Rhinolophus ferrumequinum: one gene and its partner. The protein of the gene in region 2 interacts with the protein of the main gene of each other region in a biochemical or structural test. Links are inferred from orthologs where the notes say so. Each region holds a gene or a part of one and is shown on either strand. Other genes may lie near its edges.

The links.
Region 1: the proteins of NGF (region 2) and NGFR form a complex in vitro, tested with the Homo sapiens proteins (2 studies listed by BioGRID and IntAct, with this or other methods). The link is inferred for Rhinolophus ferrumequinum from reciprocal best matches to the Homo sapiens genes NGF and NGFR.

Annotation. Positions count from the first base shown.
Region 1 is NC_046304.1:33,857,320-33,869,018, reverse strand, and holds the start of NGFR (tumor necrosis factor receptor superfamily member 16), read left to right. Parts: upstream 1-5,797; 5' UTR 5,798-5,913; coding exon 5,914-5,982; intron 5,983-11,699. UniProt on the Homo sapiens protein: Low affinity receptor which can bind to NGF, BDNF, NTF3, and NTF4. Forms a heterodimeric receptor with SORCS2 that binds the precursor forms of NGF, BDNF and NTF3 with high affinity, and has much lower affinity for mature NGF and BDNF.
Region 2 is NC_046305.1:45,832,071-45,843,574, forward strand, and holds the start of NGF (beta-nerve growth factor), read right to left. Parts: upstream 5,756-11,504; 5' UTR 5,698-5,755; intron 1-5,697. UniProt on the Homo sapiens protein: Nerve growth factor is important for the development and maintenance of the sympathetic and sensory nervous systems.

The DNA of each region.
Region 1 (11,699 bases), on a different chromosome or scaffold from region 2:
ATGTGACTGAGAAAGCTGGTTCAGAAATGGCTGGCCACCCAGGCCTCTGTTCTTAAATAATCAGCCCTGTTTCAGGGTTCGAGGCCCAGCAGACCTAACCTTGGAAAGGGATTCGCAAGTGACGCACTTTCTGAGCCCTCCCCCTTTCTGAGCCCCTCTTGGGGGTCTTCTCTTGACTGGGAGACTTAACAGACTGTGCATCCATGCCCTTTACCCTCCCCTGCTGGAAACCAACCCAGACAATTGCACTTGACCCCACATCCCAGACGAGCCAGAGTGAAGATAAGCTGAGGCCTGGGATGTCTCCTCCCCCAGCGATTCCCGTGGGAATTGTGCTGAGCCCAAGGACTGTCACAGCTCTGGCTCTTATCTGCAGCAGGAAGGCTGGGAGCCTGGGTCTCCAGTGCTGAAATGTCATCTCACCCCTCATCCGGTCTCCAGCCTGCAGGCCAGAAGCCACCAACACCAGCAGCAGCAAATAGAACAAGAGTAATTGACATCTCTCCAGCTCTCTTGATTTGCAAAGCACACTCACTCAATACCTCTCTGACCCCTGGAAGTAACTCTGAGACTGGTATCTTATGCCCATTTTATGAAGGAAGAAACTGAGCAGGGAAAAGGACTGGCCCAAGGGCACACAACAAATAAACGGTCTGGCACCCACATCTTAGGATGCCTCATCGCACTTATCTTCCCACCTGAGGACCTCACACTGCTCCAGCCTCAGTGTAGCCCTACTCAGTTTTTCTTTAAATTGTCTTGTTCGTACTTGAACACAGTATAAAAAGTGAGAGAGAAGACTAAATCCTCCAGAACTGCAGGGCAGCTCTGTGATCCTGCTGGGCTGGGAAAGATCAAGTTGAGAGTCAGGAGGAATTTCCTAGAGGAAGGCTACTTGAGGGGAATGTGTGCTGCACAGATGAGGCCAGAGGCCGGGGAGGGTGGCCCCTTGAGTCAGCAAAGGAAGACGGCTGCCCCGAGTTAGGGAGTATGCCGAATCTCTCCCCTTCCTCCTTACACAAAGACTGGAACTCTCTCTCCAGTGAAGCGCGTGGGTATAGTATTGCCCTCTCTGGGCAACCCTTCTCCAAGACACAAAGTCTGGGGAAATTAAGTCCCTACCACCTATGTAACAAATTGACCAGATCTTATGATTTCTTGACAAGAGGTATGGGTACAGAATGGGGCACAGGTAGGAGGGAGGCTGGCCTTTCAAAGTAGAGAAAGACTGCAAATGGGAAGATGGAAGGCTTTGACCAATTCTACTGTTACGTCGAAGGAAGAGAGAAGACAACTCTCAGGGGGACGTAACCCACAGAAGGGCTCGGAGGAGAGAAGGCTGATGAATGTGGGTTAGACAGGCCCCTTGCAGGACAGGGTGGAGGCAGGAAGGGAGCATGGGCCTTAGGCTGGAGCAGACGGCGGGGGAGGGCATGGTGGAACTGGCCCACTTTGATGCTCCAGTTAATCTAACTGGACTCCAAACTTGACTAAGTCCTGCCACCCCTCTCACTATTAACGCAGCTCCAGAATCAAACTGAGCTGACCCCAAACCCGTCCCCAAGTCCCACGCTGCTCCCTCATTGGTCAAGCCCCCCTTGCAGCCCAGAAGGAGTCAGCTCCAAGGTAATCACTGCATCACGCTTCAAAGCCACCGAGCCAACTCCTAATGGGGGGCAGCGGGTTTCACTTACCTTGCCTGGCTGCCTGCCCAGGGCAGATGGGATGCAGCTGGGGGAGGCCTGGCACCTCCTCCTCCCCTCCGCCCCCTGAGAAATTGTTGTCTCCTTGCCCATCTCCCTTCACCCCTTCTCTGGTTGGACATTGGAACTGGGGGTAGGGGAGGTGATTCTCCCAAAGCAAGAAAAGCGAGCGCTCACCAAGAGAGCTTGAAAATCACACCTTCTATCAAAAGGCCTCCCCCACCCTCCCTAGGCCTCCAAGCCCAGATTCTGTGATGCGTGTCAGGAGGGGCATCTGAGTGGTAGCACGGAGGGCAGCCCCCCTGACATGCAGCTTCTGTCTCCCCAACTCACTGGGATGAGGCTGGAGGGGCTGGGATGAAAGGAGGAGCAACAGGACATCGGAGTTACTGAGCAGAAGTATGGCTGCTGAGGGCCTGTGCAGTACAGTGGCTACTTACGGTACCACTGCTTCCTGGGGTCCTTGGACAAGTGGCTTAACAGCCTCAGTCTCTTCATCTGTGAAATGGTGCTCCCAGCACCTCCTTCATGGAAGTGGGGGGTTAAAGAAGATAACTGTGTGGATTTCCAGCCCATAGGACGTCTCAGTAAATGTGAGTTCTCATTGTCTGCTCTCGCATTTCTGCTCAGAAGTGGGTTGGGGCTGCAGGCTGCTTCCCCAGGGACTGCTGGAGACAGGCCCGGGGAGCTGTGAGCAATGTTCTGCAGAGGGCCTGAGGTGAGGGGTCCTGACGGAATAGGAAGACAGGGAGAGTGTGTCAGGAGCTTGCCTTCCTGGTGACAGAAGGGTCAGGAGATGAACAGGGGAGGGGCAAACCCATTTCAACTCCTGAAGATTAAGTTTGACTCACCACTCCCACACACAGCTTCACGGAGAATTGCAATGATTTTCTCCACCCTTTCACCTTAAGGGCCCTATTTAGGTCCAGGAAGCCCTGGTGTGTGTGTGGTTGGGGGAAGGGCCCTTTGTATGTGCAGCTCTGTCATGGGAGATGGTTCTGGGGGACCCTCCCATGAAAACAGCTACCCCCTTGATGCTCCCTGTCTGATCCCACTTGCCGGTCAGCTCCTAAGAGCCCTCTCCCATGTCTCATCCCACAGCAGTGGCCGCAAGTGCTAAGGATTAGGGGGAAGAGGGCTGGGTCAGGGAGACATTTTTGAAGGACGCTCATGTTTGGGGCCAGGACTCACAACCAACCATTAGAGAGTTAGGGTCGGTAAGCAGTGGCTTCCTAAGGCCTCTGATATGGTTCTAAAGAAAAGGGTGGGACCTAAGTATCCAGCCTGCATTAGGAGCAGGAATACCTGCTGTTTGTGGTGGTGCAGATGAAGGAAGGGGGGTGGCGGTGGTGGCTAGGGCCCCGGCAGTCATGGGGATGGTGGGGATGGTGGTGAAAATGGTATGGCAGTCATGGTAGTGATGGGAAGATTGTGGGAGGGAGTCACGGCAGTGGTAGCTGCGGTGGTTTTGGTAGTGACGCTGGTGTTATCATGATGGTGGTCACAGCGGTGCTGCTTTTGGTATAGGTGGCTGAGATGGTGACAGTGGTGCTGATGGCGGTCATGCGGGCAGCCACCAGCGAAGGAACATCCTGATCTCAGCTGTTATCTATGGTACGGAGAAGCCAACGTGCCACCTGATAAAAGAATCCTTCACAGCAAATTCCTAATACCCTAGAACACCAGCTCCATGAGGGCAGCTACCATTGTTTACTGCTGTATCCCCAGTGCCTAGAACAGTGTGGCATGTAGCAGGTGCTCAATAAATGTGTGTTGAATAAGTAAAAGGGGATGGGGAGTCTCTCCTTGTGATGAGCACTGTTACCTCATTTGTCCTTCACTCTGCCCATTCAAGACAGGATCTTTTTGAAAATTCCCATTTTACAGTAGAGGAAATTGAGGCTGAGAGAGATGACGTAACCATACAGGACTAAGCCACTTTGGGGGTGGGTGGGCGGTGTCGGCGTTGATAGCCAGGTCTGTCTGACTCTCAGTTCGGTGCTCTTTCCTCTACGCACTTGGCAGAGCCACTGTCCCCGCCAGCACTCAGCATTACATCGTGGGCCTGTACGTGGGCTTAATCACAGAAATGTTGGTAATAATAGTAAGTTTGTAATTGTTCACGTAAGGCTTAAATGATCAAGACCATGGAAATTATTAATAACCCAGGCCCAGCCATGGTAGTGTGAGTCATATTAAATCGTGTTGAGGTGGATAACCTTGGCAATAATAGTAACCAGGATCATAAATTAATAACAGGAGTATTTAAACGAATGCCACACTGTGGATACCCGTGGTAGTAAGCAGCTCGATGCTGCCGTTAGTACTAATGTTGCCCCTTCCTGTCTTCTAGGAATTCAGCTGAGAGGAAAGGCAGGGCCATAAAAGCAGCGGGAGACAGCTCAAAGGCTGGCCCCTGTCGGCAGGACGGAGTCCTCAGGGACTTCTGAAGAGGGCCTGGCCGCCTGGCCTCTTATGCCCAGCCATCAAAGTGGTGGCTCCTCCACATTCATGCTCAAGGCCACAATGGTGTCTACCTGTCCTTTCTGGGGCTGTCCCCTGGACTTTGTTAGTTGCATAGGAAAGAAATTCACAGGGCAAATTTCCCCCATATAAATGAATGAATGATTTAGCTTCAGCTGATCTAGGAAAACACCTACCAACTGCTAGCATGCCCTCTTCACAAGTGTACTGATCTCTCCTTCTTCCTATAATGTGGGAGGAGAGTGCTATTTTTTTCAAAGTGGAAACTGAGGTCCACACATGGCCAAGGTCAGAGTGCAGGACAGGCTTTGTGGCCGTGCCCCACAGCTCTGTGCTCCAGGGTTCATGTCTGGGAACCAGGAAAGGGTAGGAACAGGCAGGGGTGTGCATCAAGGTGGGGGGTGACGGTGCTTCCCACAAAAGACTGCTTTTACAATCCCTGGGAGTGCAAGCCTATGCTTTGGACCTGCCAATTTTTGTAGGGCTTAGTGAGTGTGGGATGCCTACACAGAACGTGGATGGGTACGTGGATATAAGTCCATCTAACCACTTTTCCATTTATTCCCTTCTAAAGACCTTTATTGAACACCTACTGTGTACCAGGCATTCAGATAAGAAAGCATAGTACCTTTCTGCCGGGTGGATGTGTCATTAGCTAATGGACACACTCACAATCTAGTGAATATACTAGGTGTATACTGTTGATACACCTGAGTGTTTGTGTATGGGTGTAAGAGTGTTTGTGTGCTCACGAATGTGTGTGTGCACTTGTGCAAGAGAATGTACATGTGAAGGTTTGTGTGGCGGTGACTGTACATGTACACGTGCATGTGTAGGTGAGCATGTGTTTGAGCATTATGACACGTGTGACAAGTGTGCATGTGTGCTTGAGTGTGGAGGTGCATACGCCTGTGTAGAATGTGCAGGTCTACATGAGAGTGGTGCGGGCATATGTGGTGCGTAAATACATATATATGTCAGCTTGAGGGTGTGTTTTCCTGTGTTTTGTGTGAACACTTATGACCCTTTCAAACCCATCTTTTGAGAATTCAAATGATGTCGGGATGGAATCCACCTTGAATGTCCCCGCTGCACACCGCCAGGGTCAGGCCACCTGCTCCTCCTTTCCGTCCCTCCGTCTAGGCCTTTGCACTGGGAAGGGGCAAGGATAGGGGTAGGGTATGCACCAGGAGATGGAGGGCGGGGCGGGCAGTGGGCATTCTTGCTGATAAAGGCTGGGTAGGGAGCAGGGCACCAGGGAAGAAGCTGAATGAAGCCTGAGGCAGAGGAAGATGGGTAAGAGGGTGAATCCTGCGGGTGGGCGAAGCCGGAGGGGAACGGGGCTGCCGTGGTCCGGAGCGCACAGCATCCCGGACCCACGCGCCCTAGCGCAGGCCGGCCTCTGGGTACTGGGGCGAGGCGGGGGAGAGGCTATCAAGGCCAGGGCGCCGAGAAGAGGCAGCGGGGCGCGCGGGCGCGGCTCCGCGAACGCCCTCCCTCCCCCTCCACTACCCTCCCGGAGGCGGCAGGGCGGGCGGGCGCGGTTCCGGGGGTGGGCGGGGAGGAGGCGGGGCCGCCGCACTGGCTTCTCTCACCCCTCCCGCCCGCAGCCAGAGGGAGCGGAGCTTCGGCCAGCTCCGGGGGGCGGGCGCTGGAGCGCAGCGCAGCCCTATCTGTCCGCGGAGCGGACTAACTGGAAGCCGGGCGCTGCCGCGGGAGGCGGACGATGGGGGCAGGTGCCGCCGGATGCGCCATGGACCCGCTGCGCCTGCTGCTGCTTTTGCTGCTCCTGGGGGTGAGTGCTAGCCCGAGGGGAGTCCGCTCCTTCTGACAGGACCCGAACCCCGATGAGTTCAGGTTTCCCCGAGGGAAAACATAACAGAGCGTTGGGGTCCCAGACGCTGGGGATGGATGGCGGGAGAGGAGCTCCGATGCCAGGATCCACGGAGGAGCGTCCAGGGTTGTCAAGGCCAGAGGCGACCCAGAGATCCAGGGTAGGGATGTGGGCAAGAGGGGCGCACGGATGCGGGCACTCGGGTACCGCGGAGGTGTGTGTGGAGGAGCCGGGAGGGGTCTCTGAGGTGGGGGCCCCGGGGCTCTCGGATGCTTGGGTTCTATGGAGAGGACGCGTGAATGCCAGGATCTCGAGGCGACTTTCTCTGAGCATCTTGATTTCTGGAGGGTCGTGGGACGGAACCCAGGCTAGAGAAGAAGGAGGAATGAGATGGGGACTAGAGATGTGAGGGGCGAGCGGGGCTGGGGTGGGGAACCAGAGACGAAGGGACGGAACAATAGGGAAGGAGGCTGGAGCGACAGAGGGAAGCGGGCATCGGACACTGAAGACCTGACCAGACAATGGGGGGAGGGGCGTGGGAGGGAGAGCTTCGGGCGTGGGGGCTCTGTTGAAGAGAGAGAAGTGGATTAGGGAGAGCAGAAAAGGGACGACGGCGAGGGAGGCAGAGAGATGGAAGTAAACTGAAAGAGGACGGAGAAGGGAGAGTGGATCCGAAGGTGGTCGGGGCCCCACGGGTCCGCCGAGGGACCGCGGGACCAGAAGCGAGCGCAGAGGCACGGACGCTTCCCGCGCCTGTCGCGCGCTCTTTCCCGCGGCTTCGCCCAGTCCGGGAATTGCGGCTGGGAATCAGAGGCTGGGAAAGGAGCGCCCACTTCGCCGGGGCGAACCCTCTTCCCCGGTTCTCCTACAACCCGCGGGCTGCCCCGACGCGCTTCTTCTCGCGATTTGAAGCAGCGCGGCGGACCGGAAGGGATGGAGCTAGCGTCGTCAGATCGCATCTGGCCGCCGCCAAGTCTGGGGATGCAGGACGCGCCAGGCGGGGAATATCGGGGCAGCGCGCAGCTCTGGGCGGCGCAGGCGGCCCGCAGGGGGCGCTGCGGTGCGAGAGTTGTGCCCTCTGCAGCGGCGGGAGTCACTGGGGGTGTGTGCCGGTCCCCCATTAAGTTAAGTGACCCGAACGCCACGCTCGCGGTTCGCTCCGCTCCAGCGCTCCGGCAGGTCGGGATTCCGCCTGTGCCCCGCCCAGCTTTCGGATGAAGACGCTGAGCACCGAACCAGACAGAGGCGCTCAGACGCCTCGGACTGCGTCTCGGCAAAGGACTGCGGGTCCCCTTAAGCATCTAAGTCGGCCGTGTAGTTCTGACAAAATATTCAGGGTATGTGACCTGGTGTGTAGCCATGAACAGAGTTTCTTTGTAAGGTTTGGCAATGGAGGAGGTGTCCTCACTCTGCCTGCCATCTTCATCTCTCATCTGAGCATAGCGCCCCAGATCCCCGTTTTACAGATAAGGAGACTGAGGCTTTGAGAGTTTAAACAACTTGGCCAAGATCCCACAAGCAACCAGAGTCCTAGCTAGACTGCCCCTCACCTGATTCCCAGCTACCAGCTCCCCGCACCACTTAAGGGGGCAACCTGGGTTCCAGGTCGGATTAAGAGCTGCGTTTGTCGACGGGGTGGGCTTGACACGACCCCCAGAGTCAGGCCGGGTGGGCAGAGACCCTCTTCGGGCCCTGTCCCCTCCCCAAAGCTCAGCCCAGGTTCCCTGGAGCTGTCAGTACCTGTGGCTTTGTCTGGGCATTTGAGAGTGATTGCGGGCACGTTTGCTGACTAACGCCGCGGGGTAGAGATGCTCCTGGGTCGGCGGCGGGGGGTGCGGGGAGGTGGGACTGGGGCAGCCAGTAGTGCGGATCCCGGAGGGGCGAGGGGGTGGGCTCCGGACCCGGGTTGGAGAGAGTGTTCCCAGAGTGGAAAGAGGCGAGGAAGGAGGAGAGCTGGGCGTGGAGGGGCTGGGGAAGGTGGACGCGGCGCAGAATCTGCCGCCTGCAGCCCCTGCGGCTCTCGCCTCCGCCTCACCGCTGCTCTCTACGGGCTGGCTCTGCGCACCGCGGCGCTTCGAGTTCTTCCTGGGCCGCGGCGAGAGAGTGCTGAAACCAGAGCGCGTCCCGGCGGGTCGGCTGGCGGGCCGCGCCGGTAATGGAGGCACTTTGTCATTCAGACGTCTGTAACCGGAGCCTCGGGGATGGCTAATGCGCCTAATAGGGATGCAGCGAGGGCAGCAAATGGGAGGACGCGAGCGGCCGGGCGGGGGAGACGGCTTCGGGAGCGAAGGGGTCTCCACCCGTGTACCAGCCCAGTCCCACTCACGCGCCCAGATTCTTCTCTGGGGCTACCGGGTGGGAAGGCGGAATAATAAAATTGGTTGAGTGCCTACTGTGTGCCACGCACTGCCCTGAGTAATTTCTCTTCGGTTATTTAATCCTTAAAAGGTCCCAGCAGAGAAAATCTAGTTATTCACATTTTACAGTTGAAGGAGCTGAACCTCTCAGACTTTCAAGCACGAAACTAGGCTCTCCCAGTTAGTAAGTGGTGGTGTCCTGGGAATCCAGGATGCTTGGCTTGGAGCTTACCCCTTCCTCCGTATGCAGCCACTACTCCACCCCCTTCTAAATCGCGGAGGGACATGTGGCCCTGAACCACCACTAGCCCCAGAGATTAGATCAGTGTCCTATGCCCTTGACACCACAAAATTGGAACTGAGCCCCTTCCCCCAATGCAGTCCCTGCCCCCCTCTCAAAGCCTCGCTTCAGCCTCAGTAATTACCTCATGTCTCCTATCCCACACTCAACCCCACCCTAAGGGGGTGGAGGGCATGTGCCAGTGCCTCCCCTGGCTTTACATGGGCCTCAAAACACCCTCCACATATTTGAAAACGACCAATGGTGGTCATTTATGGCTCCATTCACCTAAGGAGCCCTTTGCTAAAGCTGGGGTGCATGGTTAGGGTTCATCACACTGAAGCATTCAAATAGTTTAACATTCTTCCAACTATTTTGGTGTGTTTTCTATTTTGTCCAGTTTTAATTTTTTAAAAAAAGATTCTTAAGTCAATTCACTTACAGGTACTTCCACCTTAGTTTTTTGAAAGCCTTGAAATGGCAAAAATAAAAAGATTGCAAACATTCTCAAAAATGGGACGAAATTGTTCCATCAAACTGGAAATAAGTGTAATTAATAAATGTATATTTCAGGCACTTGGCATCTGTCATTTTGGTAAATTGATCCTTTTGGAGCAATTAGCCTGGATCCTGGTCATCCTTCTCGGCTTCCCAAGATTGCCCCCGCTTGACCCAACACAGGGTGTGGCAGTGGCCATGCATCAGCCCATTTAGCAAAGTGACCTCTGTGGGTCTCAGTTTCCCCAGCTGTCAGGGGATGAAGACAATTCCTCAAGTTTTTCTCCCTCAGTATCATGGCTTCTGGAGTAACTGTTTGGGGTGACATTTCCTCTCACTCATGGGACTGTGACTCCCCACAGAGGTCAGGGACCATGTCTCATTGGAAACTCTTGTTTCAATGCTCAGTAAATAATTGTTGAATTCATTAACTTTAAGGAGAGCAATTACCCATCCTCCTTTGGTCCCCATGCCCTCTTCAGACTCCCTGGTGGCTAAGTCTTTCCTCATATCTATTCTGCCCCTTGTCTCTTAGGTGCTTTCCTCTTTTTGGGGCTGGCTAAGCTCTCCCCTCCCACTACCTCCCCCCCATGGTCAGCAGCTCACTCTCCCTAAGACAAGATACTTCTTTGATACTTAACATTTATTGAACTCCTACTGTACACCAGACAGATTTGTATAAATTATTTCATTTAATTTTCACAGCAACCCTGAGCAGTAGATACTACCAACAGTATAGCTCACACTTTTGACTCAGAAAGTTGCCCCCTCCTGGCTCAGAATCTACTTACACTCATTTTATACACCTTCCTACCAAGGCTAGTTACATACCGTGTTTCCCCGAAAATAAGACCTAGGCGGACAATCAGCTCTAATGTGTCTTTTGGAGCAAAAATTAATATAAGACCTGGTGTTATTTTACTATAATATAAAACCACGTCTTTAATATAATATAATATAATATAATATAATATAACACAAGGTCTTATGTTAATTTTTGCTCCAAAAGAGGCATTAGAGCTGATTCTCCGGCTAGGTCTTATTTTCGGGGAAACACGTTAGTTTCTAAAGATTCAATTAGACCTAATAAATTAGAATGGAGGGGCCACTGAGGTCACACTGGTAGCAGCAAGAATTGACAACTGTTATCTTGACAGGAATGGAGGAGGCAGAAAAAGTATTTTAAAAAGTTGACAGGAGAAGTCAGAGACGAAAGTGTGGTAATTTGGCGAAAAGAACACAAGGGCTTCACTGAATTGCAGCTCAGAATAATTGCTGGTGTAAATATTGAGTTCCTGAGTCATGAGGAAACCATGAAGATATGTTCCAGAGTCAGAGAACGGTGCAGCCACCATGGCTAAAATGGAAACCATTAGGTGATTAGAGCTGCCGAGCCTTGACTTTCGGGAAATTCGGCTATCCAGAAGTCATTCCTGGAGTTCCAATTAATTGAGGTCATATCATATTTTCATAATTCCACAAGCACACACGTTGGGTCCCTACTACGTGCCAGGTACTGTGTCAGTCCTGCCCTCAGGGAGCTGATAGTCCAGTGGGGACTCTGTAAAGTGTCAGATCAGACAAAAATAGTCAAAAGGGAGAACATGTAACAGGACAGCTCCACTTGATCTGGGAAGGGATAGGGACACAGGCCCATTTCCTTAAGGAAGTGATATTTAAGCAGAGCTCTACAGGATGAAAAGAAATCCGAACAGACTCTTCTGGAATCTCGCTAGCTAGCCTCCTGGGGGAAAGCCTGTATTTGGGACTCCACCCATCCCCAAAGCTTCTGGTTTGCAGATGTTCCCGGTTGTGTTCCTGCCACCTGGGAGGAGAGAGTAGTGGCACCCAATGTCCCCCTCCTATGCTACCTACACCTTCCCTGCTGGTCTCCTGAGGACCACAGGCTGCCTCCTAGACTGAGCCAATCTGTCCGGCCCCTGCCTCCACTGAAGCCTGGTGAGATCTCAGGATATCTTAAAAGACCGGAGGGAAGGGAGTGTTGTTGGCCACAGTCTGGTCAATGTGGAAGCAGAGGAATGTCCAAAATGACCATTAAAACTCCCCTCTGCTCCCATGACCTGAGAGCCCATACTTCCTTTTGGCATCAAATGGGAACTGCATGGTCTGGGGCCAGGGAAAGAGTCTTGGGAGTTTTATTAGACCTGCAGTTTGTGGTGGGTTTTTTTTTGCTTTTTTTTTTTTTTTAGGGAACAGAAATATAAAGCAAGCTGCCAGCAGCCCCTCCCTCTAGGGAATCTGGTGCTAAATCGTTCCATCCATGAGCAAAGATGCTTTGGCGGCAGGAATCTGACTCCCCTTTCCCCTAGATCCAGCGCCATTCCACTGAATGCATGGGGGGCAGGGAGGGGAGAAGGCTGGTGACTGGAAATCAAACCCTGGTGGAGCAGGGCTGCTGGGTGGTGAGAGCAGCCACTTTCTCATCATTGATAATAGGCGACACTTTCTCACATCTTGGCGCCAGACTCTTGCTGATTGGCTGGTCTTTGCTCTGGCCTTGGGCTGTAGCCAGCTCTATCTGT
Region 2 (11,504 bases):
GCTAAAGACACCAATTGTTGGAGGAGGAGGAGTTGTTACGTGGGGTGAGGGACCAAAACACTCTGAAAGCTGCCAGTACAAGTGGCCATTCTCACGAAATGCCTTATTTAGAGAGCATTGCATAACATTTCTAAAATAAAAGTCTGAGGAGACGTTTGCCTCTGAAAGAAAATTATAGGCGGATCTCCACGACTCTCTTTTTACCAGGATATGATGAGGCAAAGAAAATTCAGAAGAGGAAGAGACTGGTTAAAAGTCTATCGACATGAGAATGTTAATTACAGAAGGTCGAAATATAGACATAAAAAAAAGAGAGATGATATTGTCTGATCTGAAGTGGGAAAGCATGAAGAGAGGACCCTCTCAGATCAGTCCCACTGGGGGAGAACATGAGGGAAAGGAACTCATCATGTCTGTGAGGTGCCTACTGTGTGCTGGCCTATGCTGGTGTTCGCCCGACATCATACCACCTACTGTGTACAATAGCCCAGCAGAGGAGATACTACTGTTCTCTCTGTTTTACGGAAGAACGGGTACAGGAGATGTCCTCCTGCATCTCCTTCCTCTCTGCTTACCTAGTTCAGCATCCTTCAGGCAGCTGGAGCCCAGCATGACTGTCCCTCCCTTCAAAATCACAGTGCCAAGCGGGCCTGCCTCTCTTGGCATCTCCCACACACCGTGGGGGTTCCTTACAAGGTTATTGACAGAGATAAGACGGTGCCCCAGTGTGTTCACCTCCCAGCCAGGTCTCCTCAGGTCCAAACATGGGATGGCGTCTCACCAGGCGGGGCAAGAGAGACATGCAAGTCGCTGTAACTGCATCTCAGATCCACAGCGATGAGGGGCTGAGACAAGACCTCCCTGCACCCCCAACCTGAGCTGAGCTCTCATCACGGCTTCCCCCGGGTGGTCCTCCCTGGGCTCCCTCCGGAACAGCACGCAGCAAGCCGACAGATGACACATAACGAACCCTGGCTACTGACGGAAAAGTCAAAGAAAATGGGAAAATCAGCCCGTCTGTCCCAAATAGCAAATACTCTGTGGTTCCCGGGAAAGTGCTCAGTAGTAGTGGATTGTAACGGCCCTCCACGTGGAACGGCTTTGGTGGGAAGCTTGGGCGGTTCATTCCCACCGACTTCAGACCAGATCCCTCCATCTGCAGGGCTCTCCACCTGCAAAAGCCACCACCGGCGGTGCCAAAACATCTCCATCTGCTGAGCCTGGTGGTGAATTTTCAGGGAAACTCCTCTGGTCTTGCAAACTGGCTCTGACTAATACTGCTAATAAAAAGGTTTTCCACAAGTGAAAGAGGTTGGCCAAACTCTTGGGCCATTCAAAAAGCGTTTGCTCATCCCCCCTGACAGACTGTGTTATCAGACTCGTCTCAACCTCAGAGAGATCTCCTTAGGTCTCCTGGTCTTATTTATTTATTTTTTTTCCTGCCTCATCGGAAATCAACTCCAAACTCGACCAGCCCTCCTGCTTCGGTAATTTTCTCTCTACCTGGGGGTAAGTGGCAAGTGGGTGTTCCTGTAATAGCCTCCAAAGATACTCATTTTAGCCCTGTGCACTATGAATAACCAAACGGTTCTCTTTTTTGTCCTCCAGTGAGACCTTGGGGAAAAGGTAAAGATGACATGAGCTGTTCTCCTTGAGAATAAACCCACTGCTACTACAAACACCAACCCTTCAGGCTAGCATTGCTGGCCTATTTTGTTTTCAATCAAGTGTCACATCATTCTCACAGCTTGGCACAGTTGTATTAATTTGATACCAACACGTACCCATGTTGTATTAAGTGCTGTCAGTGCTGGGAAGGGTTCTACTTCCTTGTCCTCTCATTCAGGGAAGGGACCTCCTGGTGTCAGAGTGTGGTCCACTTAGTATAGGAGGGAGGGATCTCCCCCCAGGGCCGTGGACACCTGGGGCAAGCAACCTGCCTGTGTTTTCAATAACATATGGCCCAGAAGGAAGCTGCCATGCTCTAATACCACCTGTCCCTTTCCCCACTCATTCTGGTTTCCTTTTCAGGTGGGTCATTTGTAGTCACACTCCATTGACAAAAGACAAAGCATGACACCTGCTGGGACCACAGCACGGAAGGCCCCATCAATGACTTCCTGGAGTCGGAAATGCTGGTTCTTAAAGGTCAAGCCCAGGGCTGGCCTTCTGAAGCCCAACTCAGTGATTAAATAGAGACCCCCCATGAGGGCCTGGAAGAAGGGGCCTTACTGGTGATTTCCAAGGGCGTTCTCACCGCGAAACAGTATTATCCTTTTAATAAGCAGTGAGCCAAAAATGGTGTTGGGGGGGGGGTGGGTTTGGTTGTCACCATGACGTCTGGCATTTAGTAGGCAAGGAGGAGATACTAAGCATCCTGCATTATGTCAATAGGTCATACTTCACCAAGAATTGTCCCCAACTGCCAGTAGCCCATCAAGAAACATTATTAATTCAATGCACTTGTCCTATAAATTAGGAAAAATTAAACCCGAGAAGTTTAGTGACTTGCTTAAGGTCACAAAGCCACTTTCCCTCCTGTCTCAGAGCTTGGGAAACTACCATCGGAAGTTTACCCAAAATACTGGAGAAAAATGTCAAGAGATCATCGTAACGTTTCAATCTGATTCTGACTGTGTCATAGTCTGAGGCCAACAGTCCCTGGGGACACCTCAAAAACATGTCAAGTAGCCCACAGAGGAACCATGAAAACATCACAAAGCCTGAGAATGTCTTCTTTATTGTAAGCTTTCATGATCTGGTCTTGGCCAAACTTTGTGTCTGAAGGGCTATTCCTCCTTGGCTCAAACAGTGACAATCCTGTGTACACCCAACGGAAAGGCCAGTCACCCCCAATCCTCAGTTTCTCCAGCTGCATTTCTGCCTTAGGGCCATCCCGGTTTTACTGCTATTTAGAGTGAGGGTGCCCACTGTCAGGAAGCAGGTCGCTGGGCATGTGTTGGGGAGGGTCGTCCATCTCCATGTATTTGCCTGATGCCCCGTATGCTGTTCTGTGAAACTGGTCCATCACAGAGTTGATTTCTCGGGACGGCTAAGCCTGAGGGCTGATGGTGTAGCTGATGGTTTGCAAGATCAGAGGGGCCAAAGAAAGAGAAACCCTCTGGGGATATGAGTTGTTTGCTGAGAGACTTTAAGTGAATCTTCAGCAAGCCTTCCTCGGCCTCCTGAGAGCAGAAAGTATTTGCTGCCAGCAAAGGTCTCCAAGACCCACCTGCTCTGAACCCCGAAGTCTCTATGAGGCCTTATAGGGAGAAGACAAATGGCTGGGCCTCTAGTCCCTGGTGTGACAGTGATGTGTGCCTGGGGGCCCGGGCCTGGCCCCTGCTCCATGCAGAGCAGGGAAGAACAGCAGCCATGTGTTCTTTGCAGTTTCTCTGTGGTCCCAAAGCTGCTGCCACTACAACTGGACACTCTTTGAATGTGCAGAAGTCTGCTCAGCACTGATTTAAAAGTGAAGTTGTGCGATTTTCTCAGTCGTTTAATCTCAGTGACGATGAGAAACTTCCCTCGGGCTGCAGCCCTGCCCTGCCCTACCCTCCCTGCTGATGTCGGCAGCTGGGGCCCCCTTCCTGGCCAAGGCACAGGTTTCTCCACATAAGAGAAGCGGAGTGTGAAGCTTTAGCACCTCCTCCCTCTGGTACTCTGGGTGGCCAGTGGGAGAAGGTGAGACCCTCACTCCTTGAGAAAGGCTAAGGATACAGAAAGTCACCAATAGTAGGATGACTGCCCTGAGAGGACCCAGTTTCCAAATGCTCTTAGTGGGCCTGGGCTCAGGGAAGGGCTGGCACCAGAGCCGGTTCCAAAATCCTCTGAGACACTCCTACAGTTCTTTCAAAACACGTGTCCCCGCGCCTCAGAGACCTTAGTTTCCCATTTGTGGTGACTCCTAACATTTTTCCCTTCAAGGCTGCCGGTTTTTTCACCTACATAAAAATGTTGGAGAGAGATAGGGGGAGAGGTTTAGCAGCACATGAAGTTAGCCCCAGGGCCCTCCAATGACCCAAGTAGGAGGAACAGTGATTTCTTCTGTGAGTCAGTGCCAGCAGGGCAGGTTTCAGCCCCCAGACCACTCACTCGCCAGTCCTGGGTGCCCTCTGAACCTCTGGAACACTGCCCATCATGGATTGACATTTGGGTTGCCCAGGCTGACATATATGACTTATGCCACAGAAGAGACCCATGCAGGTCTAATGCAGACTTTCTAGACTTTCCTCTGCGGCTCTGCAGAGGGAGAAAGTTTCAGACATTCGGTAGGAAGCTGTAAACACGTCGCAAGAAATATTCCCTGCTGGCAGACTTAACTGACAGCTTCAAGAGTCTGAAGACCCTGGAGAAAAGTTATTGGTAGGCCCTCCACCACCATTTCTGAGTTTGCAGAATGCAACTGGCTGTGCATGTGGGGGAGGAGGGGCCCGGAATTGGCAGTGGGTACGCCCAGCGGATGGAGCCAGGATAATTAATCAAATGCCTTTACTCCAGGATTTCCACTAGCCTCAGATGATTGACAGGGCAGAGACACCCAGGAGAGCACTATTTTGGTTTCCAGCTGGGAACGTGCACGAAGTTTTCCTTAATACCCACAGCACCCCAAAGGCTTTGCTGTAATGCACTTTAATGCATGAAACACCCATAAATTATCCTTCAAACAGTTACAACTTCCAACCTGGAACAACTTGGAAAAACCAGCCTAGCAAGCAGGCTCTTTTTTAATCGCTCAAGTCACAAGAGAAGAGAAAGTTCAAGCAGAAAACACCTTCCATGAGAATCTCAGGGATTTCTTTTTTTTTCTTTTTCTTTTTGAGAGAGTAAGAAGAGTTGTAATCAAACAGAGCAAAGCCTCTGTGGTTTCTGCTGGCTCAAAGGTGCCGTCCCCTCACCCCTGAGTCCTCTCTGCCCTGGGTCTTTGCCTCCAGGACCTAAGGCGCTGCCCACCTCAGCCCTCCACGCCAGCTTCTCCCACAACTGGCAGCAGACAGCTGGCGGTGAGGCGTGTGACCCAAGTAGCCCAGCGACTTCGGTCCACCCGGATCCGTGGAGGTCTCTTGGTGTGCAAGGTTCCTCCATTAAGCCCCGGGGGCCTTCATTTCGAACTCTCAGCCCTCCAGCAATGAGGAGAAGACCCCAAAGACCCTGCCTCCATTCCTGGCATCAGATTCAGCGTGCCCTGCCTCGCTGGTCCCCTTACCTGGGGGGCAGCGTAGCACTTTCCGGACTAGGCGCACAGCCCAGACCTCGCGCGCGATGCTCTCGCCCTCCGCGGTGCAGCCCACCCTCTGGCCCGCGCATCCCTCTCTCCACGCTCATCTGCTCTCCCTCACTTGCGCGCTGTCCCTTTCTAGCACTCGAGCTAGTAGTGTCTGGCACCGCGCGGGACTACTGCAGGCGCCAGGGTGGCCTCCGGGACTTCGGGCCACGGGGAGACCGGGAACTTCAAGACCAGAGAGCGCGCTGCTTCCCCCTGCTCGCCGGCTCGCCTGCCAAGGCTCCCGCACTCCTGCGCCCACTCGGGACACTCCTCTCACCACTGCACCTCAGCCCGTGGGATCCTCGGGGGTGCCCGGAGATCTTACCAGGCTGGGAGCCAGGCACTGTCTCCCGGGAGCTCCTCCCCGCCCGCCAGCACCCCTGCCCACGCTGCGCCCCTCTCGGGGCTCCGCTCCAGGCTGCAGGACTCACCCAGCGCTGCGCTCCTCTCCGGCTCCCGGCGCACTCTGCGGTGCAGGAGCTCCGAACGGCTTCAACACTGGCTTCTGGAATTCTTAGCCCCTCCTCCCGGACTCCTCCTCACTTCAGTCTGCCCCGGGCACGGCCCGCCCCAGGCCCACACCTGCTGGTGCTGGACTGAGGTGCCCGGCTGTCGGGGGTCCTGGGGATTAGCGATCAGCTCCCAGGAGGGCTGAGTCTCCCCAGTCAGGGAAGGGTTCAAAGCCCCAGAAGTCAAAGGGAACCACACAGGTCGGAGGGACTGTGCGAGCCCAGCACAGGCAGGGATTTTCTGGGGCACCGCTATCTGTGTCCCCTTTCCCTACCCCCCCCCACCCCACCCCGTCCCCACCCCGTCCTCCCAGCACGACTCTCCCGTGCTTTAGGCATGGCTGCCCCTCACAGCCTAGAGAGAAAGGCCAAGGGAACTTTTCGCCTGGGATGCTTCCTGTCACCCCTGAAGAAGCGAGCACCCAGGGGAGCCCTGGAAGACGCAGGTGCTGGCGCTCCTCTGATAGGAGGCAGAGCTGCGGCTCTGAGAGCCAGAACCATCTAGAAGGCCCCTGGGCAGGGGCAAGTCTGGCGTGGGGACAGAGACAGAGGCGTTAGGCGTCTGGACCTGGACTCAGGGCTTTAACTTAAGTTCTGGAAGTTTCCTGGGGTCCCTGAAATTGTAGGTAAATCTGTACATCTGTGTGCATTGCGTGCATTTTTCTGGGTAGAGGGTCAGCAGCTTTTATCAGCTTTGCAAGGGATCTGTGACTCTAAACTGACCCAGACAGCAAGACTCCTTGGCCACCCCAGGACCTGCCCCAATTCCTCTTTATCCGCATGCTGCAGACTTTAAGGGAGGTGTGACCTCCTGGCTGGCCGGGCCCTCCAGCATTTCTTGTGTTCCATGGATTCAGAGGCTGACAGGGAAGCTTGCCTGCCCTTCCCACCTCAGCCCCACGGTAGCAGAAATACCCCTGAAGCCAGATTTTTCAGCAAATGTGCGTCATTAATTATAATAATGTTCTGGGGGTTCACACGTCTTTCAAAATTCACACCCACTTTCCCTGGTGTTAAACTCAGTCTACACTTCTTCCCTGAGTAAACCGTCTGCTGAGCCCCTACCCTGTCCCTGGTGCCACATGGGAGGAAGGGATGGGGCACGGGAGGGGAGGGCACTGAATCCCTTTGTTGGTGAAGACATGCCAGCACAATTCAGGCGCCCTGATTTAATGAGGTACAGGGAGGGGTTCCTGTTTTAAGTCCAAGGGTGGCCCTTTGCCCCACCCCCGCGCCCCAGGGGAGGCACTGGCGAGCTGAAGCCCTTCTTCGGCATTTCCAGCTCCCTTTACACAGATTGGCCTGAGGTGTCCACTTGGTGGTCTTTTCACCTTTGCCCTGCTGCTTTGCATAGCTGTCTGCTGTGAGAAGGATGAGGTAGGAAGAAATCCCCAGAATTGGAAGTCAGCTTTAGCCTTCGTGTGGCCTCTTCATCTCCCAGGGAGGGCTTGTCCACTTCTGAGTTGTTCTGAGTTGTACAAACAGGTTGGATGAACACACTTTGGAGGAGAGTGCTAGCTGCTGGGCCCACCATAGATGGCCTTTTCTGCAGACTTAGCGCCAGAGTCAGGGCTATCCATTAGGACATTTATCGTTGTCAATTAAACAAAGGAATTTCCATACAATAGGGCAAATTCATTCATCAATCATGTCGTGTATAAACTTGTTTGAAAGCACCAGCCCTAAGCCTTTACAAAATAGCTGCCTGAGAAGTTAGGGATAAAGTTGAAAATTTTAGAATCAAATTTGGTAGTTGCATGCAGAACCTTTGCATGTGTTCTTGTGGCGTCACCCAGAAGGACAAAAGGATTTGGCGGACTTGTGGTTTTGTTTTGTTTGTTTGTTTATTTGTTTTATGTGGTGTGTAAGAGGGAAATGTAAAAATGATGTAAGCAGAATGTAAGGCTAGATGCCACCCCCCCCAATTCTTCATCATATTCTGATGGCACATGTTGGTTTAATAAGAGCTCCTTTCCATCCTTGTCTAGCTCTGTTTCTGTCCCTGAACTTAAAGGATCTTGAGTAAATAAGAACGTGTAAGCAACAAACAAATACTCCAAAGATTAATTATGAGTGCCTACTATGTGCCTGCCAGGCGCTGTGAGATGGCTGAGGTACCTACCTGTTCTCAGAGAATTCACATTTTGATGGGGACTGGATTTTTAGGCCCGGCCATGTGTATCACAGTCTCCCCAGGTCCTAGCACAGAGTCTGGCACACAGTAGGTGCTCAGTAAATGCTTGTTGAATCCTACAACAGTCAGAGACATTTGCGGCTGTCAGATAACACCCATCCACACTGAATTGGTTTCCAGTAGGTTCCAGGTCAGACTGGCCTTGACACAGAGACCATAGTCAGCGTTTCTTCTCTTGCCTCTTCCACTTCCTTCTCCTGGGTCACTGAGAGAAGGACTTTAAAGCCTGGACCAGTTACATTTATAGGAATGGAAAGCAGCTGAGAGGGCAGCGGGCAGAAGGAATGGTGCAGACAAGTAGAGGATAAGAATGTTTTTTTGTACTAGATTTTCTCGAAAGAGCTTTTTCACCCGGGTATCAAAATAACCAGCAGCTGATGTATTTGCTGCCGTGGAGGAGAGTGTAGTGTGTGCACAGTAATTGTTGTTATTTCTGAGGATTCAGAAGTTTGCAGCCACTGAGTGCCTCGTCCACAGCAACACTCAGCCTGGCACAAAGCTCCTGCCTCTCTCTTGCTTCATCCCAGAAGGGCAAGGCAAAGTACATGTGCTATTTAAAACACCAGGAGGCTCGGCCGAGATCTGCCAGTACGGATGGCATTGCTGGATCTGCTGGCAATATGTGCCAAACAGAAATATTGTCCCAATTGCGGGAGGAAGTGATAGCGTCAGCTCAAAGACTTGCTTCCCCCTTCTTTCTCATCAGAGTGGAGAACACCTTTAGAAGAGGAAATGTTTTATAATGCTTAGTGTGATGGCATGGTTACAGAATCACCGAGAACATCACTCCAGCCACCTCAGTTATGGAGGAGGACTCAGGGCTCAGGAAGGACGGGGTCTTAGCTGAGTATAAATGGGCCGGGTCAGGCCAGAACTCAGGCCTCTTGATTTCTAGGCGAGTCTGCTTTCTCTCACACTCTCTGAAAGAGGCTGAGGGAAAAACCTCTGGGCCCTGGCCTTAGTGGGGAGACTGGTAAAGGAGCAAAGACAGACCAGGGTGCAGAGAACACTGGGGATGGCAACGGCTGGGCTCCCCTCCTCCTCTTGGGGGCCATCCCTGCCTCCTCCCGGGAGCTGCTCCTGGCTTTCACCCTCTCTCTGATAACTTCAGTTTCTCCATCTCCCTTTGGCTTGTCTGCATTCACTTGCCTGTCTCTCCTAAGGAAACTGCTAGCCCTCCTGACACCCAGTCTCTGGACTCGCAACTTCTTGCACCACTAAATGCCTCAGCAAAGTGACCCACCTGTTCTTTGGCTCCTCTCAACTTCCTGCGGTCTGGTTCCCATCTTCTTCCCCTCCCCACCCCTTCTCCCCACTGACCTGATATTTTCTTCTTAAAGGTCACCAGTTGCAATAACAACACTGCCACCAACAGAACAATCGTAGCATTTATTGGCTGCTTTCCTTGTTTTGGGGTCCTGGGCAAGGCATTTTTATGGGCCCTATAAGTAGGTATCACCCACTTATTAATAAGGAAGCTGAAGCCCTACGAGGTAAGTCTCTTGCTCAGCGTAAGTCACTCATAGCCCATGAAATGGCCGGTAGAGATTTGAACCACGCCAGTGGAGCACTGGCTGTCAAACACCGTACCTTCTCCTTCTTTCCGCGCAGTTCATCAGACTTTGCCGGTCCTCAGCCTCCTCCCCGAGGACCTCCTGCATGGAACACTTTCCTTTCGAGTTTCTGTGACTGTGCTCTTCCTGGTTTGCCATCTACCGCTCTGATTTCTCCGTCGGCCCTCGAATGCCTGTGCCTCCCATGGCTCAGTCCTGGGGCGCGACATTCTTCTCCACTCTCAGCCTCCCAGGCCATCCCTCCTACCATACTGATCCCCTCGCTTCAGCTCTGACCCCACACCTGCTCCTTCAGTCACTAACAGTTGGAGAGTTCATATGTGCAAAGTGCTACCTGGGTTCTTGTTTCGGACCGCGGCCTGCGTGGGTGCTAGCAAGGACGGTGCTGCCATCTCACCTCCGACCCTCAGGGCCTCCATCCAAAGCCCTTGGTCGTGGCTCAGCCGGCAGCAGCCCTTAGATCTCAGCCCTGGGACAGCTCAGGTATCTCCTTGGGCCCAGCGCAGTTCAGCTCTTCTCCAGCGGGGGCACCGCAGCCCAGGAACGCCAACTGCTTGGAAGTAGAAAGATGTAGCTCACCTACTCCATCTATCCGCTAAGGTGGTGTGACCTTGGGAGGAAGAGCTGTCCTCTTGCAGCCATAATAACGGTAATTACTTACAAGGATATCACGAATGGTGTTAAATACACGATGGCTGAGCCCCTGCAATATGCCAGTCCTCTTGGAGGTATTAGGTGTTCCTCAAGGGAGCGAAACAGCCTCTAGTCATGTGCAACCTAAATTCTATGAAGTGACTTCACCCATTTAATAAACATTTATTTAGTGCATATTATAGGCCAGGCCCATAAAAAACAAATTGTGATTTCAGTGAGCATGGTTTGGAAAGGAGGATGAGACGGATTCAGAAACCGGCACTGGTGCTGCAGGCGCCAAGCTCCTGGGTGCAAGGGGCATGGAGCCGGCCTCCTGGCGTTTTGGTGTAGCCTCTGCTCTCCTGACCCAAACAGCGGCGAGCCTCCAACTTCCAGACTGGTCTAACTCTGTCCCCACAAAGGCCTCCAATGGCCCCCGGCCACCACGCGGACAGCCCAGGTCAGGTCTTCATGGGTGCTGTCTTCAGACACCTCTGTGTTTCTCCCCTCCTCCAGCACTAGAACAAATCCTCAGTGCTCCTCATGAGGCTCCACAGCCCTGCTGCCATTCTAGAATCTTCCTCCAGGTCCTCCCTCCATGGCTCGCACTGCCCCTGGCATGGGGCTTTCTTCTTGGGCCCATCCCAGAGATACCGCTGGCTCAAGGTTCACAATGATCAAATTCTGCCCGTAGAGCATCACAGCGGCTCTTTCCTGTCACTGGGTACCGTGTGGAACAATTAGGGTTCTGTGGTGCTGAGGTGGGCAGGAGCCTCACGCCTTCCTTGGCAAGGCTTCTCTGGAGGAGTCTGGGCTCGGTGGGCTCTGCCGCATCCTGGGTGGCTTTCTGTCCAACTCCAGGCCCCGGTTACAGTCCTGGGCAGGATCTGTGTTAGGTACAAGGAAACGGGAGCAAGAAGACATGTTTCCTGCCACATAGGAATTTGCTATCCAATGGGGAAGCAGACAGATCAACTGATGAGACGTATCCCAAAAAGTAAGCTCGGGATGGAGCACGTGCCCCGCGTGCAGCTGCTGGGTCTCCTCACTGCTGTCCCTGGCACCAGCACAAGTTCCATATCCCTTAAGGTGACTTATGCAGCCCCGTGTCATCTGGCCCCTCATACCCCTTCGTTTTCCCCTCTGGCTACTCTGTTTTCTTTGCTCTAGCTCCAGCCTTGGTCATTTTTTTCCCCATTAAACAAGCTGTGTTGGCACCTCTGGGCTCTCTGTGCCATTTCTAGTGCCTCAAAAAGTACCACCCTCCTTCCTCCGTCCCTCTCAATCTGGCGCATCCCTCTTCCTTTGACATTCTTCTCTTTGAATCT